Linked DNA regions of Neodiprion lecontei. The protein of the gene in region 1 purifies or fractionates together with the protein of each later gene. This does not show direct contact. Links are inferred from orthologs where the notes say so. Each region holds a gene or a part of one and is shown in the gene's direction. Other genes may lie near its edges.

Region 1 (7,703 bases):
TAAACTTGCCAAAAATTTGATACTAATGAACAGGATCATGTCAACGAAAATATGAAACACTGTCTCGCCCTTCGGCGTGCCTCGAAAAGCGCCGGAAATCAGGAGTTCAGCACATATATATGAAAAGCCAGTCTTCGCGAGTCAAATGGTCGTACTGAACTGAAAGGATTGGGAGAAATATTGTCCGTGACAGCGCAGAAGAGAGAAAGAAATCAGTATAAACGCAACGCACGTGGTGGTGAAATCAGTGAAGGCTGAAGAGTTATTCGAAAAAATGAATGAAAGTGCAAGTTATCACAAAATTTATGTACGACCTTTACAATTCATTTGCTGCGTTGCATCAAAATAATTCTTTTTATAATCATCAATACCGCATCTGGACAAATTTCTGAATCGTCAGTAAATCGAAAGAGAAATGGCCGCTTCTATTTTTGAAACATTACGCAATACTATGCTGAAATATAACTGAATAATTAACAAGTTCGACGACATTAATTTTGGTTTTTATTAACCTTAATTAGTTTGTGTAAATTTAAAACCATTCCAGCAAATATGGAATTGATTAATCCTTTTCGCATTATTGCTTACTTTCACATATGCTCATACTAATTTTCTCTTCAATTCAATCCGTTATTTACAATAATAATTATTAGAATGTAAAACAAGAAATGAGGAGAATACTGTATGTCAAGGATTTAATACATTATACGTGTTATTAAATCAGGGTATATTGCATCTATTATATTATAATTGATAATCAATTTGGAAGCATGACATTAACTGATAACGCTGTCTTCGCGGATATCGTAGCTATGTCTGCACAGTGTAGCCAACCATTGAAGCATCCTAGGAATCGATTAAGGAAAATCTTGGAAGTGTATGATGAAACTTCTAACTTTGACAAGAGTATAAAATGAAAGATGAATAAAAGTATAGATTGTCACTAAAAGTCATCAGATCAAGGATACGACTTTTCACTCTGCTCGCTCTCACAGATGTAGTTCAGTATGTAGTCTTCCTTGAATTTGACAATCTCATCATTGACCTCTGGCCATTCTAGAGCCTCGTGAATTCCATCCGAACTATATCGTTTGTTATATCTGTCATAATGAACCTAGTGGCGATAAATATGATTCAACTGAACAAGTAAAACAAGGCGTTTTTGCAGAAAGTAAAAATACAAATGCGGTTCCAGAATTCAAGAAATTAATGAAGATATCGTATTTTTCTCGAACCTGATCCAAAACTAATCCTAAACTAGGCGCCATCGGAATGTCTAGCTTCCCTGGTCCAAAAGCTGCATTCAAAGTTTCTTCCGATGTCTGAGTTCTGATAATGGCTATAACCAATGCAACCATTTTTCGAATTTGGTGCAACATAAAACTTTGCCCCTTGATCTTAAGAGTAACAAATTCCATATCATTGATGACGAACGGATCGCTACACGAGCAATCTATCATATATCTCATTGCAGACGGATCCAATGGTTTTCTGCGAATAAAAATTCACCATTTGTTATTCGCGCTATTAACGTAAACCTGAAAAGGAAAATTCTATAAGCTCGTTGCTCTTACACTTTTGATGTAAAATTATGGAAATTATGAGTTCCTTCATACAGTTTCAGCACCGATTGGACCTTCTCAAGTACATCTGGCTGTATCCGGTACTTGTGGAATGGTTCACCATTGATAACAGAAAGCTCCTCAATTTTTTTATCAACGTCATATTCCTCGTTTAGCACTTCCGAATCTGGCGGTTTTTTTGCAAAAGCGAAAGTTGGCATCGTGTAGATATAAGACCGAGCATCACAGCTGCTTTTACTGTTGAAACCTTTCGTTACCCTCTTTATTCCAAAAACTCTGATTTCTTCGGGCAAAAACGCATTTATATCTTCCTTCTTCCCATGCTCAGCTGTGAAAATGATCTGAATGGTGAATCAATCCTTGATATAACTTTGAATATCTCGCCTAAGTACAAAACGTCGCCTATTAGGTAATTCAAGGCCAAGTATACATGTTGAATACTGAAAGTAGTCGAAGAGTCAGATATGTTTACTTCGCAGATCGGCTAACTCACTACCACAAGCGTATCTTAAAAATTCCATGCACAGTCGTATTTGCCAAAAGTATTTTAATCTTACGTAGTTTCAGAGAGACAACCTGTCTGACTGCAGAAACACCTTTGTCTGTTCTAGCGGCTCTTTGAAACTGAATTGTCTGTATAGTTTCAAAAGCTTCATCATTTATGAGCTTTGCTTGGAGTAAAGCCTGTATCAAGTCCTCCTCTATCGTTTTCATTTGTGGATTTCTCTGCATACCGTAATAATTTTTTCCCAAATAACCCAAAAGCATTGCCACTTTTCGCTTCTTCACTCTGTCCGCATTATCCAATTTTTGTTTCTTGTTATCGCTATCCTCTGGCGGCTCTTCTATCAGCCTTTTGTTATCCAGAACTGGAACAGCGACGTTCTCATCGACAACTGGGGCCAGGGCAGAGAACATTTTCCTGCATTTAAAAGACCCTAGGGAAAAGTTGACAGGTTATGTTCAGACAATGAAGTGAAATCTCAAAGTGTGGAAAATTTGAATTACACTAAGAGAAAACACAAAACTTCTATGCAATAATGAAATATGCCTTTTATTGGAATACTGAGAGATGTAACACGCAACATGCATACGGCTATTATCGATAAACAAGTCTAACGGATTCGAAATGTTTACGATGAAGAAAAATTTATTACGATTGGTACTTCTCAGCGAATAGGCGACTAGGTTATGAGCCCTGCACTGAGGAGTCGTAATGATGGACTGAAATTAAGTATAATATGGAATAGACTAGTACTTACGGAACAAGCAAAGATTATTGACAAGTGTCTCCTTGCAAATATAGCGATACATTTGTGGACGCAGTTTCCTTATGCGCAAAATTCACCTCGTTTACACGCGAGGAAATATAGATACCTTCAAGACATGCTCAAGTAAAAAGCTGCACAACCAGCATGCACATACTTATATCCACTGTGTATATAGAGATCCACACACTGTTGAGTGATCGCCTACGCCTATGGTGTGGTGTCATGGAGTAATCACATTCTGTCAGAGAGCCAGCCTTATGGGGATTTGTGTACGACAAGAATTGAATGGTAACTTACCGACATCAACAATTATGGCAATCAGTAAGCAATCTGTAGTAGCGGTACGGCTGATGCATTCACCTAGAAGATCTAGAATCATGCGTTTTTCTTCACTTTACAATGAATTTATTATCATTTGCTTCTACAGTCTTTAGCTCTATTATTTCTGTTGACAAGAAAAAATTATACGTTTCTTAATCAACATTAAGCCGGCTTGTAAATACCGAGCCTTCGACTTTTTCTAAGAAAGCTCCACTTTCCTTAATAACCAAAAAAATACCAAGTCGACGCGCTAAAGACGCGGTCAAACTTGAGAACTTTAATTAATCTGTAAAAAAACCTTAAATATCTAGGACTTGTCGGAAATTTCTGTCGAATCCCAATCCGCATCTGCGTCTTCTCAAATCCGACACATTACGATGCGGATTGTTTATTCTCAGATGCGAATCAAGTCCGGAAGGGAGGTTGAAAGGCATGCATTATTGTGTGGCGTGACGGTCGGCGGTCCTCTTCGACGCGAAGTCTTCGAGCTCAGCATCTCTCCCCATCCAGCGTACCACGGAACGCAATAGATGATCCAGAGATGCGTTTTGCCCATTCATACGATCACAGAGGTCAATCGAATAAAGCAATGATTAGTAATGACTGAATAATTGGATCGAATATCGTTAGGTTAAAAAGCTTATAAGCTTATAAATGATTCCAAGATTTTTGTACCGCGGAGTCGTTCTTATGTTTCAGGAGGGGAATCTCTGTGTTCGTTTGACGCTGTGGATTAAAAAAGTTAGTAACATCACGATACATCGCGGCCTTCCTACCCTCGCCTGATTCCCAACGGAACCACCCAACGGAGATGTTGAAAAGAAAAACTCACACGCAAATCCACTAACACAGCGACGGATCCCAAAACGACCACCTACGTACCCGGTTACCTATATTCGATCTAAACGATCCCCCATTTTTTCCAACACACATCATTCTTCCTCATTCGCGCCGTGGTCACTGTGACTTACTTTTTCGTTGATCACCTGTAGGGAGCAAAATGTTGCTGTACTGTAGTCAGCCAGGTGCAATAAATATACTTCGTTTAAGTATTTCAATGATGCTGGAAACTATTGGTACATCAACATTTTGTAAAATTGATTAGTAACATATCCTGTATGCTCATCAGTAATTATCTAAGCGAGCTAAATCTGCAGTTGATTTGTACTTGCTGAATCGTAAAAAATTCGAAATGATTCAAGGTACGGCATGAAATTCGATTACGTTACATTATGCCAGACTTTGAAATTTCATCAATTTAACGATCATGTGAATATGATTAAACGACCGTATAATTAACCCTCTGGTGAATCCATCGCAACGGGCAAAATTTCTAAATTCAAGTAAGCTACTGCCAATTAGATTGCAAAAATAATGATTTGACTGAAAGAAAAGCACCGTTGCGATCGTGAATGAACCTATCCAGGCAAGAAATCGAAACAATTTGTGTAACAATTGTTACCGCCACGCCACGTGACAGAGGAAAACCAGGGAAATACCCGTAACCTAACACATGCAAACTCACCAACGTTGCCAAGTAATGGAGAAGTTACTCGGATGTCTCTGCTTAACTCTGGAAACGACAAAAAACAAAACTCGAGTTAATTTAGCAAACAGTGCCGACGTACATGTAAGCTGGAGATTTTCACTACTCTAATTAATTATCACTGTTGTCTATTTCCATATTTATTCACCGCATGTTATTCAAGGACAAAAATTCGGTTTCAAAGGGACTATTTTGAGTTATTAAAAAATTATCACCCTAAGTATTCTTACTTTCTCCAGGTTGCTCCATACTTTGAATGTAGTAGTTCTCGTAGTAGCTGTTCAGGTTGAATGGTAACACACTTCTAATTAGGCTGTTATAAGGAAATAGTAGAATTTTACCCACACTCATTACACACGCGACAGTTTTTACGTCACTAAAGACTGTCCGTGTCAAAAAAAAACTTTTTCTTCGTAATATTTCAGTAACTTTTGATGCACTAAGAAATGAACTACGCAACAGAATAACAAAAAACTCATCACATCGGCACAAATATTAAATATCTACGACACTATTAGACATACCTATGCATTTTGTTGTAGCGATCGTATATCACTTCTCGTACCCGAAATAAACGCGACGAAATAAAAATGGAACGTCCTGAAGTGAATAGCATCGGATGATTTTTCTATGAATTCACCGAAAATATTTCACCAATTTAGTCATACAGTTGAAGTACGTAACAGTCGAATTGCTATCGTCATTTGTTCAGCGTTAGAAAATCCGGTCGCAGGCATACTTCACTGAAACGATCCTCTTGGTGACTTTGAACTGTTTATTTGACGATCAGTTCACAATGCCAGCCTCACAAACCGGGTTAATGACAAAAAAAATCCTCACACTAAGCAGAAATTCGCACAAATTCGACATTCAGCACGCGACCGAAGCACGTTCGAACTTCTCATCTTCCCAGAATTCCGTGAGTTACCTGAAGGCAGCCGCTGCAGAATCACGCTTGTGCTAGCGGTTGAGCGGCAAAATAAAAAAAAAAAGAACATCGCAATTTTGACTGTCGGTACGTCGACATGAGGGGTGTTCTACTTTGCTGACTGATACTGCTTGTAGATATCTTCACAGGGCGTCCACTAACCCTATCCCGCCTATTCGTATCTTTACCACCTTCACCTAGCTCCGACTGCAGACGAAATTTTCGGAGGGATTCGAAGTACCGCACGAATCGCTCATTTTGATCTGAATATTATTTATTGACGACTACAGTACCTTACCTGACTAGCGTTTTCACGCATTTATTTGTAGAAATTTATTTATTTTGAGATAGGTGAATATCTATTAACGTATAATGACAAGGTGAGTAACCGTGTGTCCCAAATTTGAGGTTAGACTGCCGACCGTTGCTGCATGCTCGACGAATTGTATTTAAAAATATTTTTGCCCATTATACCTTGCAACTATATAGCAATAATTATTTTCCTTTATCAACGCACAGATCAAAGATAGAATTGGGGGATGTTACACCCCACAACATAAAGCAATTGAAACTGCTTAATCAAGTCGTATTTCCTGTCTCGTATAACGAGAAATTCTACAAAGACGTCTTGGAGGCTGGCGAGCTGGCTAAACTCGCTTACTATAATGACATTGTGGTATGTTATTTAATTCGACTCATAGATAATTATATATCCCTGACAAGCAAAATTTAGTCTCCTTTCACACATGTGGTATTCCAATCCCAGCTACACAGATTTACGTATGAAACAGTTCGGATGTCACTAGCATAAATATTTTCAAACAGTTTATCTTCAAACACTAATTTCAGGTAGGGGCTGTGTGTTGTCGTGTAGATACCTCAGAGAACTCGCGCCGTTTGTATATAATGACTTTGGGATGTTTGTACCCTTATAGACGACTGGGGATCGGCACTGTTATGGTACAACATGTACTTAATTATGTCTCTAAAGACGGGAATTTTGACTCGATATTCCTGTAAGTTATTTGAGTTACTTATTTAATTTACAAAATCTCCACACATAGTCTAAATTGAACTGAGCGCATGAAGTTCTTTTATTAACGTGTTGCTTCTGCTTTTGATCAGCCACGTACAAGTTAACAACGAGGGGGCTATTGATTTCTACAAAAAGTTCGGCTTTGAAGTTGTTGAAACGAAAAAACATTACTACAAACGTATCGAACCTGCAGACGCACATGTGTTACAAAAAACTTTGCGCCCGCCAACAACAGCTAATCATCAAAATCAATCAGCAAGTCAATGAATAAATTCTCTTCATGTATCAATCTTCCATCATCTGTTTTCATCGTATAATGTTATCTGCTGTACAAATTGTCAATAAAAATTGTTCCTTATATCCAATTTTTGTATAACCTATCGTGAAAAATTTAGCACTAGTAATAAAATGGACAGTTCTAATCAATTTCAATTCGAATTGAACCACATACAAACAGTGTCAACACTGAAAATTGAACACGATCTAGGTGTTTACTAAAAAAACTCGAACATTTATTGTTTGGTTAGTGTACAACATAGATAAATTTAGTTAGCTTCATAATTTTTCAATTACATCTGTTACAACATAGATAAAATTCAACTCTGGTAGGGAGAAATTCTTCAATTCACGTAACTTTCACCGGTTCGTAATATAAATATAGCATCGTCACGTATTTGTTACTTATCACCAATAACACATGAATTATTTCTGGAAAACTTCAATATACATTCCCAGCATAATAAGTACTTCAAAGAGATTTCACCTTGAATTATTGTGTAGCTGCTTGATCTTACATATATTTTGGAATCTCACCTGTCCTGTACGGCTTATGACCGTATTTTGGAATACAACTAAATTGACTAAATTCATGTATAGAAATAGATCGCTCATTAGAATAAATATAATACAATTCATTTAAATATTAGATGTGCAAGCCAACATGTAGTAACAATTGAATCCTGTAGTTAGCAACCAGAAGCTTATTACCTAAATGGTTATTATGTGAAGCAGGTGCTTC
Region 2 (8,561 bases), about 20 Mb from region 1:
ACTACGACTACTCCTATTCCTACTCCTACTTCTACCACTTCTACTTCTACTCCTACTACTTCTACTTCTGATCCTACTCCTACTCTAATGAATATGATAAAAATGTTATACTCACAGTGTACAAGTCGTCGTCATCCTCGTCCTCCTCCTCGCCCACCTCGATCACCCGCAACCAACGCGAACTACCTCGGGTTATACCTTGAATAGTAATGAATATTTTTAGTATAAGAACACATCAAAAATATTGTTCAAGGATTAATAGAATTAATTAATTAATTAATAATATAATAAATTTTACTAGCCCATTTGAAGCTACTGAACATGTGCTTGCGCGAAAAATGAATTGAAATAATTTATTGTAAACGCGACAAGTTTGTAATATTTCAGATGAAATATAATTACAATTGCCATAAAATGTTATAAAAATGTTTTACTCACCGAGCACAAGTCCTCGTCCTCCTCCTCGTTCAACTCCGACCACTTCCAACCACCGTTAACCACCTCGGGTTATACCTGAAATAGCAATAAATATTTTCAGTATAAGAACACATCCAAAACATTACGTAAGGATTAATATAATCAGTTAAGTAATTAACAATATTATTAATTCCATTAGCGCATTCATAGCTACCGAATTTGTGCTTGCGTGAAAAATGAATTGAAATGATTTATTGTACACATGACAAGATTCAAAAAATTTCAGATAAAATATAATTACAATAGCCATTAAATATCATAGAAATGTTTTACTCACTGAGCAGAAATCCTCGTCCTCTTCCTCCTCATTCACCACATGTCTCTGAAGTCGAGTTTCATTAGGTAGTGGACTTGGAGCGCAGAAGCTACGGAGCGCTTGTCCTGGAAGTTGAGTTTCACCAGGTAGTGAACCTGAGCTCAGAAACTTCGGAGCACTTCTTCCTGAAATTGAGTTTTACTAGGTAGCGGACCTGGTGCGCAGAAACCACGGAGCGTTCGTCCTGGAAGTCGAGTTTCACCAGGTAGTGAACCTGGAGCGCAGGAACCACGCAGCGTTCGTCCTGGAAGTCGAGTTTTACTAGGTAGTGGACCTGGAGCGCACGAAATACTGAGCGCTTTTCCCTCAATCAAGTTTTCCCAGGTAGCATACCTGAAGCGCAGGACACACGGAGCGCTTGACCTGCAAGTCTAGTTCCTGCACGTGGTGGGCCTGGACAGCCAGAATTGCGGAGCACTTGTCCTGGAAGTCAAGTTCTTGCTGGTAGTGGACCTTGAGCGCAGAAACTACGAAGCGCTTTTCCTGGAAGTCGAATTTTACCAGGTAGCGGACCTGGAGCGCAGGAACCATCGGGCGCTTGTCCTGGAAGTCAAGTTTCCGCAAGTAGTGGACCTTGAGCGCAGAAAATACGTAGCGCTTTTCCTGGAAGTCGAGTTTTCAACAGGTAGCGGACCTAGAGCGTAAAAACTACGTACCGCTTGTCCTGGAACTCGAGTTATACCAGGAAGCGGACCCGGAGCGCAGGATCCAGGAGGTAGAGAACCCGGCAATGGAAATCTGCGGAGCGCGATTCTCATCCGTCCGCTCTACTGCGCGGTTGTTCCCAGACTGAGCAATTCGACTAGCTGATTTTAGATCGATGACGTCAAGAGAAAAAAAAATTTTGGGTGACGTTACTTTCTGAACATACGACATCCAAACTTTGGTTTCGAACTTTAATGCTATGTATGATATGATGACGTATGATGTGATGTATGATGATATGATAAAATGTATAATGATTTTAGTATTCGCATTTCAGACAAGAAATACGCACTCAATCTTTCCTGCCGATTCCAGACTCAAGCGGCTAGGCCCTTCGATGGTCAGCCGTTGACTAAAGATATATTCTTCAGTTAACGGGTCAGCTAACAACGCTACCGTTCTGCGGCAGTCGAATGATAAAAATGTTTGCTCCTACATTTTAAATTTGTTGAAATCCACTCGAAGTTTCATGAAGCTTCGTTCTATTTCACCCTATCAAAAAAAGAAAATCGCCGACAATCTGCACCTTTTTAGGCTTTGAATCAGGGCACTGCGTTAAATACTGTCTCATATACAGAGCATCCATTTCATTTCGATTAAAATTAGCGCATCCGTGATGTATTACAGTTACTCCGCATTTGTTTCCATACGAACACTTATCGAAAAACAATTCTGCTCCTCTATCCAACGTAGTTACTTCACTTGTGACTAGCTCAATCTAGTTTGTCTCATGAAAAATTATAAAAATTATAGTGTGCATTACGTATTAATCGTAAACGGATCATATTTATTAATATCGTACATGCACCGTGTAATGTCTTGGGGAAGTAATAATTAATAAAAGGTCGACTACTAATTGAAAATGAAAGGTTCGTCGAACTAATTCTACTAATTACTCAAGATTTATTCGAACACGAATACCGTATACAGGCTAAATAAAGACTGAGCTATCAAGTCCACGAGTTCGGATCATCAAGTGGGAAAACAATCATGCCAACTCGAATACACTACAGACCGCATGTACAGATATACTTTTTGGTCTCTGCATCATTATCACATTTGATATATTATTTATGATCTATGTATACATTTTTGTCTTGGGTACCTCTACCTTAATTAATTCACTGTTTCGCTACGAATTTTGGAAGAAATTTGTGCTCATTATTAATTTCTTGTATCGCCGACAAGCCGGTAAGTACACACAGGCTAAGTACTGGCTTAGGCTTACCATAGCGAAAACTGTGCTACTCGGAAGGCGAATGCAGCCAGCATCACGTCGAAATCGGTAACTCTCTGATGTTCTGCAATAAGTTCTCAACGCACGACGGTTTCCGGTTGTCACACCAAAGCCCCATTAGGGCAACTGTCTTTATATTTTTCAGTCAACGACCCTTACAATCTTGCAAGATGCCATTCAGGACCTAATTGTAAGGTAGGGGATTTGAAACCGAGTCCTTTCGCTCCGCAGTCACGAATACTAGCACCCAAGCCACTACATTCCGTGGTAAGACTTACCTGTTTGGATTTATAGAAAAACTTGTGGCGTATTCGAAAAATTTCGGAATCAATTTTTCACGTTCCATATCGACGTAATTCTACGATAGAAATCGATTGGTCGCAGCCCGAACATCCTGCGAGCATCGGATCAAGAGTTACAGCTAAAAAACGAGTGAGTACTCCTCGGAACTTCTCTACTATTGGTGCTACACTCCATCAGATGCATATTTTGCGTTTTTCGGCGTCCAATTAGTCAGGATAGGGTCACACAAATCGATTCTACGTCCAGTAACTTTTAAAGTCCCGCGCTCGTTTATGACTAAGTATTTTATCTAACTCGTTTACGAGTGCATCTCTCACTTTCTATGCTCTCTCTCTTTCTCTGTCTTTTCCTCTTTCGCCCATACGCCATCTCACTCTGCGAGCTTTCCAGCAACGACACAGAGCAACACAGAGCGACACAGAGCGACACTGTGTCGAACATGGTGCTTTCCAACAACGACACAGAACGACACAGTCGGACACAGCTGCGGAGCATGGTTGGACACTGTGTCGGATTCATTGCTGCCAATTTTTTTGTTAGAGATTTTATTTTCGACGCATGGTATTGTTTATATTTCTTTATTAAATGCAATGATAATCTACACGCGTTTCACAAATGTTTTTTTTTCCTGGAGCGCTCAGTGTTCCTAGATTTTTCGTATCATGCATGAGCGGACTCTAGTGACTGAATTAAGAACCTCAAAGCGTTCCAACAAGCACCAAGGCACAGTGTTCGACCGTGTAACACAGTGTCATACTGTGTCTCCTTGCTGGAAAGCTCCCCTTGTCTCACAATCAAGCCTTCTCCCCCACCTACATGCGCTGCCCTCGAATGCTACCCTACTTTTGTCATTTATATAAGGATTATTGACTTCACCTGAGGTTTATTTCTATCACGGTCAACTTCGATACAGTACAATTTAGCGTGCCCCTTTGATGCTAAGTGTCATATTTTTCACGGTGACTGAATGTAATTGTATAAAAATAAGTGAATACTGTTACGAAAATTGCCGATTGAATAGATGGTGGCGCAGTACATCAGCTGGTAAATGTTGATGAACAATACATTAATTACGGTTTTTGAAAGTGAACGGTATTCGACTATTGAAGATTCACATGTTGCCAGACTGCATATTACCTAATAACGAATAATATTTCAATAACGCGCCTCCGTGCGCTTCACGTTTCCGGCGGAACATCATTGTCGCGGATGATCACGTGATCGAAGATCGACTTCTTGGTTTGCGGCCACGAGGTTTTTGCGGTGAAAATTGAGTTTACCGGGTTGAATAGGCCCTTGATTTTTGTATTTATACAAAAATGCCATCCAGTAACCCCTTACCACCAAAAGAAAATGCCTTATTCAAGCGAATTTTGGTGAGTAACACCCTACCAAAATACTCTTGTTTTGCACCCCACTCCCCGGCTCTCCCATGCCTCGAATTCCTCCTCATGCCCTAATGATGAAGCACTCTTCGAAAACATTACAAAATCGTTTCGAATTACTGAGACACATTTACGTAATTTTATTAATTTTCACAACCCCGGAATTTCACGCATCTCTGACTCCTTAACCCCTCGACGAATCCGTACTGTAGCTTTCCGTCAGCGAATTATGCGTTTTCTACCTCATCAGTACGAATATCAAGCATGAAAATACACTTGTGCACCTATAATATCTTAGTAACCGTAAATTAAAATTGTTTTACAGAGATGCTACGAACACAAACAATACAAAAATGGCCTCAAATTTGCCAAGCAAATATTGTCCAACCCAAAGTACAGCGAACATGGCGAGACCCTGGCGATGAAGGGTCTGACATTAAACTGCCTGGGCCGCAAAGAGGAAGCTTACGATCATGTGCGACGTGGCCTGAGAAATGATCTAAGATCTCACGTCTGTTGGCATGTTTACGGTCTGCTCCAACGATCTGACAAAAAGTATGACGAAGCTATCAAGTGTTATCGCAATGCTCTCAAATGGGACAAGGATAACATCCAAATTCTCAGAGACTTGTCCCTCTTGCAAATTCAAATGCGAGATTTGGATGGATACAAGGCTAGTTTCAGTTTTTCTGTCTTCAGTATGAATAATTCAGTCAAAATCCAGTAACGGAACTAAATTTTTTCTTTATTATCTAACAGGATACGAGGTATCAGTTGTTCATGCTGCGCCCAACCCAACGCGCTTCTTGGATCGGCTTTGCGATGTCGTATCATTTACTCAAAGATTATGAAATGGCTTTAAGGATTTTGGACACGTTTCGTAATTCACAAATGGTAAGTCGAGTGTGACTAACATCTGGCATTGAATACCGTAGAGCTTGCTATAAACTAAGTAAACTGAAAAAAAATCAGGGAATTTGATTATAAATCAATCATTTAGAATATAACATATATTTATTTAAAAAACTGCTTGGCTCTCTAGTATATTTTATTTTGATAATGCTATAGATTATTATCAAATTTTTGGTGGAACAATATCCAGGTTTTGAGTCATCGTTATAATTCTTAGAAACGCAGTCTGCACAAATGTTTCTAAAATTGTATATAAAACGTAACCTCTTTCTAATATTAACGTCCAATTTTCCAACAAAACATTCAAGCCGTTAATAATTATTTAACGCAGCATTCCCAATATTTTGATATTCCAATATTATTAGCACTTCATTTTAGTCGGAGATTCAAAATTTAAATTTATTTGTTTTACATTTGGGATTATTTATCGAGTAATATTCAGATAGTACTTATGTTACTGACTGGATTTCCCAGAGTTGTTACGACTACGAGCATAGCGAACTACTGTTATACCAAAACCTGGTCATTCAAGAATCTGGGGAAAGTGAGCAGGCCTTGAAGCATTTGGATAAGTACTGTGACCAAATCTGTGACAAAATCACAGTCAAAGAAACGTATGGTGAGTCAGCATAACTTCACAACTTCGTACATTTATTCACTAAGTGTCTTATATTTCCACAAGTTAAAGTTTTATGAATTGTGTGAAAAGTTCATGGTAAACTTGTTATCATATTGACCCGACAAATTGAACAAGGTCCTCAATGCCATTGACAATTTTTATTTATTTTTTGATGGCAAATGTACACGTTTTATGAATAATGAAAATTTTTACTTTCAGGAAAACTGAGACTAGAGTTAGAACAATTTTCCGAGGCTGAACAAGTTTTTAAAGAATTGCTGAATTTAAATCCGGAAAATACGACGTATTACGCCAGGCTGGCCGAAGCTGAAAGGCATTCTTCGCCTGAAAAAACGTTGGAAATGCTTCAGCGATATCAAGATTTATTTCCCCGAGCTCTGGCACCGAGAAGATTACAATTGAACTATGCGACAGGAGAAACATTCAAAGTTTTAGTTGACCAGTACCTCAGAAAAGGTACGATGACGAATATCTACGTTTCCAAATATTGACAAACAGACAAAGCTGTACAAGTGTGCTCTACAGATAAAAATTTATCACTCACGGTCTTATCAACAGAAAAGCTATACTAAAATTCTAATATCGTTCACTGTTCTTTAAATTTTCATGCAGGCCTTCACAAAGGTGTTCCGCCACTGTTCGTAAACCTGCGATCTCTTTACAAAGATCAACACAAGGTTGACACAATAAAATCGTTGCTTCTTGAGTATGTCGAGGCTCTCAAGAATCACGGCCACTTCAGCGACAGTGATAAAGATCTGCCTCGGGAGCCAGCATCCGCCCTTTTATGGACTTACTACTACCTGGCCCAACACTATGACCATCTTGGTCTTACCGAAAAAGCTCTAAAAGAAATTGACGCTGCCATTGACCATACACCGACACTGATCGAGCTTTTTGTCACAAAAGGGCGAATTTACAAAGTTAGTTTTCCTTTCGTTTTTGCATGTATAACGCGCAAGTCACCGCCGTAATAGCCAACCATCTAATTTTATCACATTTCGTGTATTTTCAGCATGCTGGAAATGTCATGGAAGCGTACAAGTGGCTTGACGAAGCACAGGGACTAGATACTGCTGATCGTTATATAAATTCAAAATGTGCCAAATATATGCTCCGCGCAAATCTGATCAAAGAGGCAGAAGAGACATGTGGAAAGTTTACGAGGGAGGGTGTTCCGGCTATGGAAAATCTTAACGAAATGCAGTGTATGTGGTTCCAGACGGAAGCAGCAAGAGCATACCAACGACTTGGGAAGTACGGAGAAGCTTTGAAAAAGTGTCACGAAGTCGATAGGGTGAGCTTAATTATATTTTATTTCCTTTTATGCTTTCTTTTATTTCTTATCAGTCCATGTTTCAATCATTGCCAATTAAGTTGCTAAATTTTAAATCTATCCAATTTCGCAGTGTAATATGTATGCATACAGTGTATTCTTTTCAAGTTTCAAGATTCATTTCGAAGAACCTCTTAAACGTAGTATAAAGCACGTAGTAATTGGTTGATTTTTTTCCAGCATTTTTCGGAAATCATGGAGGATCAGTTTGATTTCCACACGTATTGCATGAGAAAAATGACATTGCGTTCCTATGTTGGCTTATTAAGATTAGAAGATGTTTTGCGGTCACATCCGTTTTACTTCAAAGCAGCCAAGTGCGCGATAGAAGTTTACCTGAGGTTAAACGACTATCCTCTACCGGATCCTACGCAGACGCAAGAAATCGACACTGGTGAGTTATTTTTTGATTATTCACTCAACTTAATCCCCAATAATTCATATCTACTGTTTACCGTTTCGCATACGTAATGTTTCAAACGACGTTATAAATTGGTACGACAATTCTCATTCTTTAATAACGACATATCTCATCTACTTAAAATTCAGAAGTACAAACTTTTTAGAAGGATCAGTTTAATTCTAATCCACAAATTGTATCGAAGAAATTATGGAACTCTGACAGAAATTTCTCGCAAGATATGTAGTTTGTGACTGGCATACAATATCGGAATTTTCTATATTTACTTACCACCAATCAGCTGTCGCAAACTCGAAATACATACAAAATGGACGAAGGATAGTTAACTGACACTGTAGAATCATATTTAATTGTTTGAAAAGTGAATATCTTCAACGTAGTTTTTAAAATTGATCTTATTCAATGGCGACATCGGAAATCGGATAATTTATCGCAGAGTGTAAAAGATTCGTTGAAAATTTCACATTCTATTGAATTCACGATATTCTTTGACAGCTTGAACTTTTTGACACGCATATCAATTAAACACCTGTACATCATTCAATTGTACACGTAAATTAAAAATTTCTTTAATCACAGATAACATACAAGATAGTACACAATAATAATGATAATAATTAATCGAATCACAATTTTAACAACTGATCGTATCCTGCGTGGTACGATTGTGATAAAACGTGCCACTAATATACCGGCGTAGAATAAAATAATAATAGCAATAGTAATTAACTTAATACTCAATATATACAAAAATAAATTATAATATAATCAGGATTGTTGTGCTGATACAGCAAATTGCGTACGTAATAGGCATACAAATGAGGCCCAT

Evidence for each region.
Region 2: the proteins of probable N-acetyltransferase san (region 1) and N-alpha-acetyltransferase 15, NatA auxiliary subunit purify together in Drosophila melanogaster (affinity purification with mass spectrometry, with the first as the bait; 3 studies listed by BioGRID). This does not show direct contact. The link is inferred for Neodiprion lecontei from reciprocal best matches to the Drosophila melanogaster genes san and Naa15-16.

Annotation. Positions count from the first base shown.
Region 1 is NC_060265.1:27,202,166-27,209,868, reverse strand, and holds probable N-acetyltransferase san, read left to right. Parts: upstream 1-5,812; 5' UTR 5,813-6,021; coding exon 6,022-6,029; intron 6,030-6,168; coding exon 6,169-6,325; intron 6,326-6,498; coding exon 6,499-6,665; intron 6,666-6,774; coding exon 6,775-6,952; 3' UTR 6,953-7,050; downstream 7,051-7,703. Other genes in the region: tRNA pseudouridine synthase A, read right to left, coding at 1,466-1,538, 1,617-1,911, 2,141-2,521, 2,846-2,897; serine/threonine-protein kinase SIK2, read right to left, coding at 777-846, 969-1,114, 1,236-1,322. UniProt on the Drosophila melanogaster protein: N-alpha-acetyltransferase that acetylates the N-terminus of proteins that retain their initiating methionine. Has a broad substrate specificity: able to acetylate the initiator methionine of most peptides.
Region 2 is NC_060265.1:6,923,949-6,932,509, reverse strand, and holds the start of N-alpha-acetyltransferase 15, NatA auxiliary subunit, read left to right. Parts: upstream 1-3,806; 5' UTR 3,807-4,357; coding exon 4,358-4,414; intron 4,415-4,748; coding exon 4,749-5,096; intron 5,097-5,182; coding exon 5,183-5,317; intron 5,318-5,809; coding exon 5,810-5,954; intron 5,955-6,173; coding exon 6,174-6,431; intron 6,432-6,587; coding exon 6,588-6,898; intron 6,899-6,990; coding exon 6,991-7,272; intron 7,273-7,491; coding exon 7,492-7,705; intron 7,706-8,271; exon of another isoform or gene 8,272-8,561.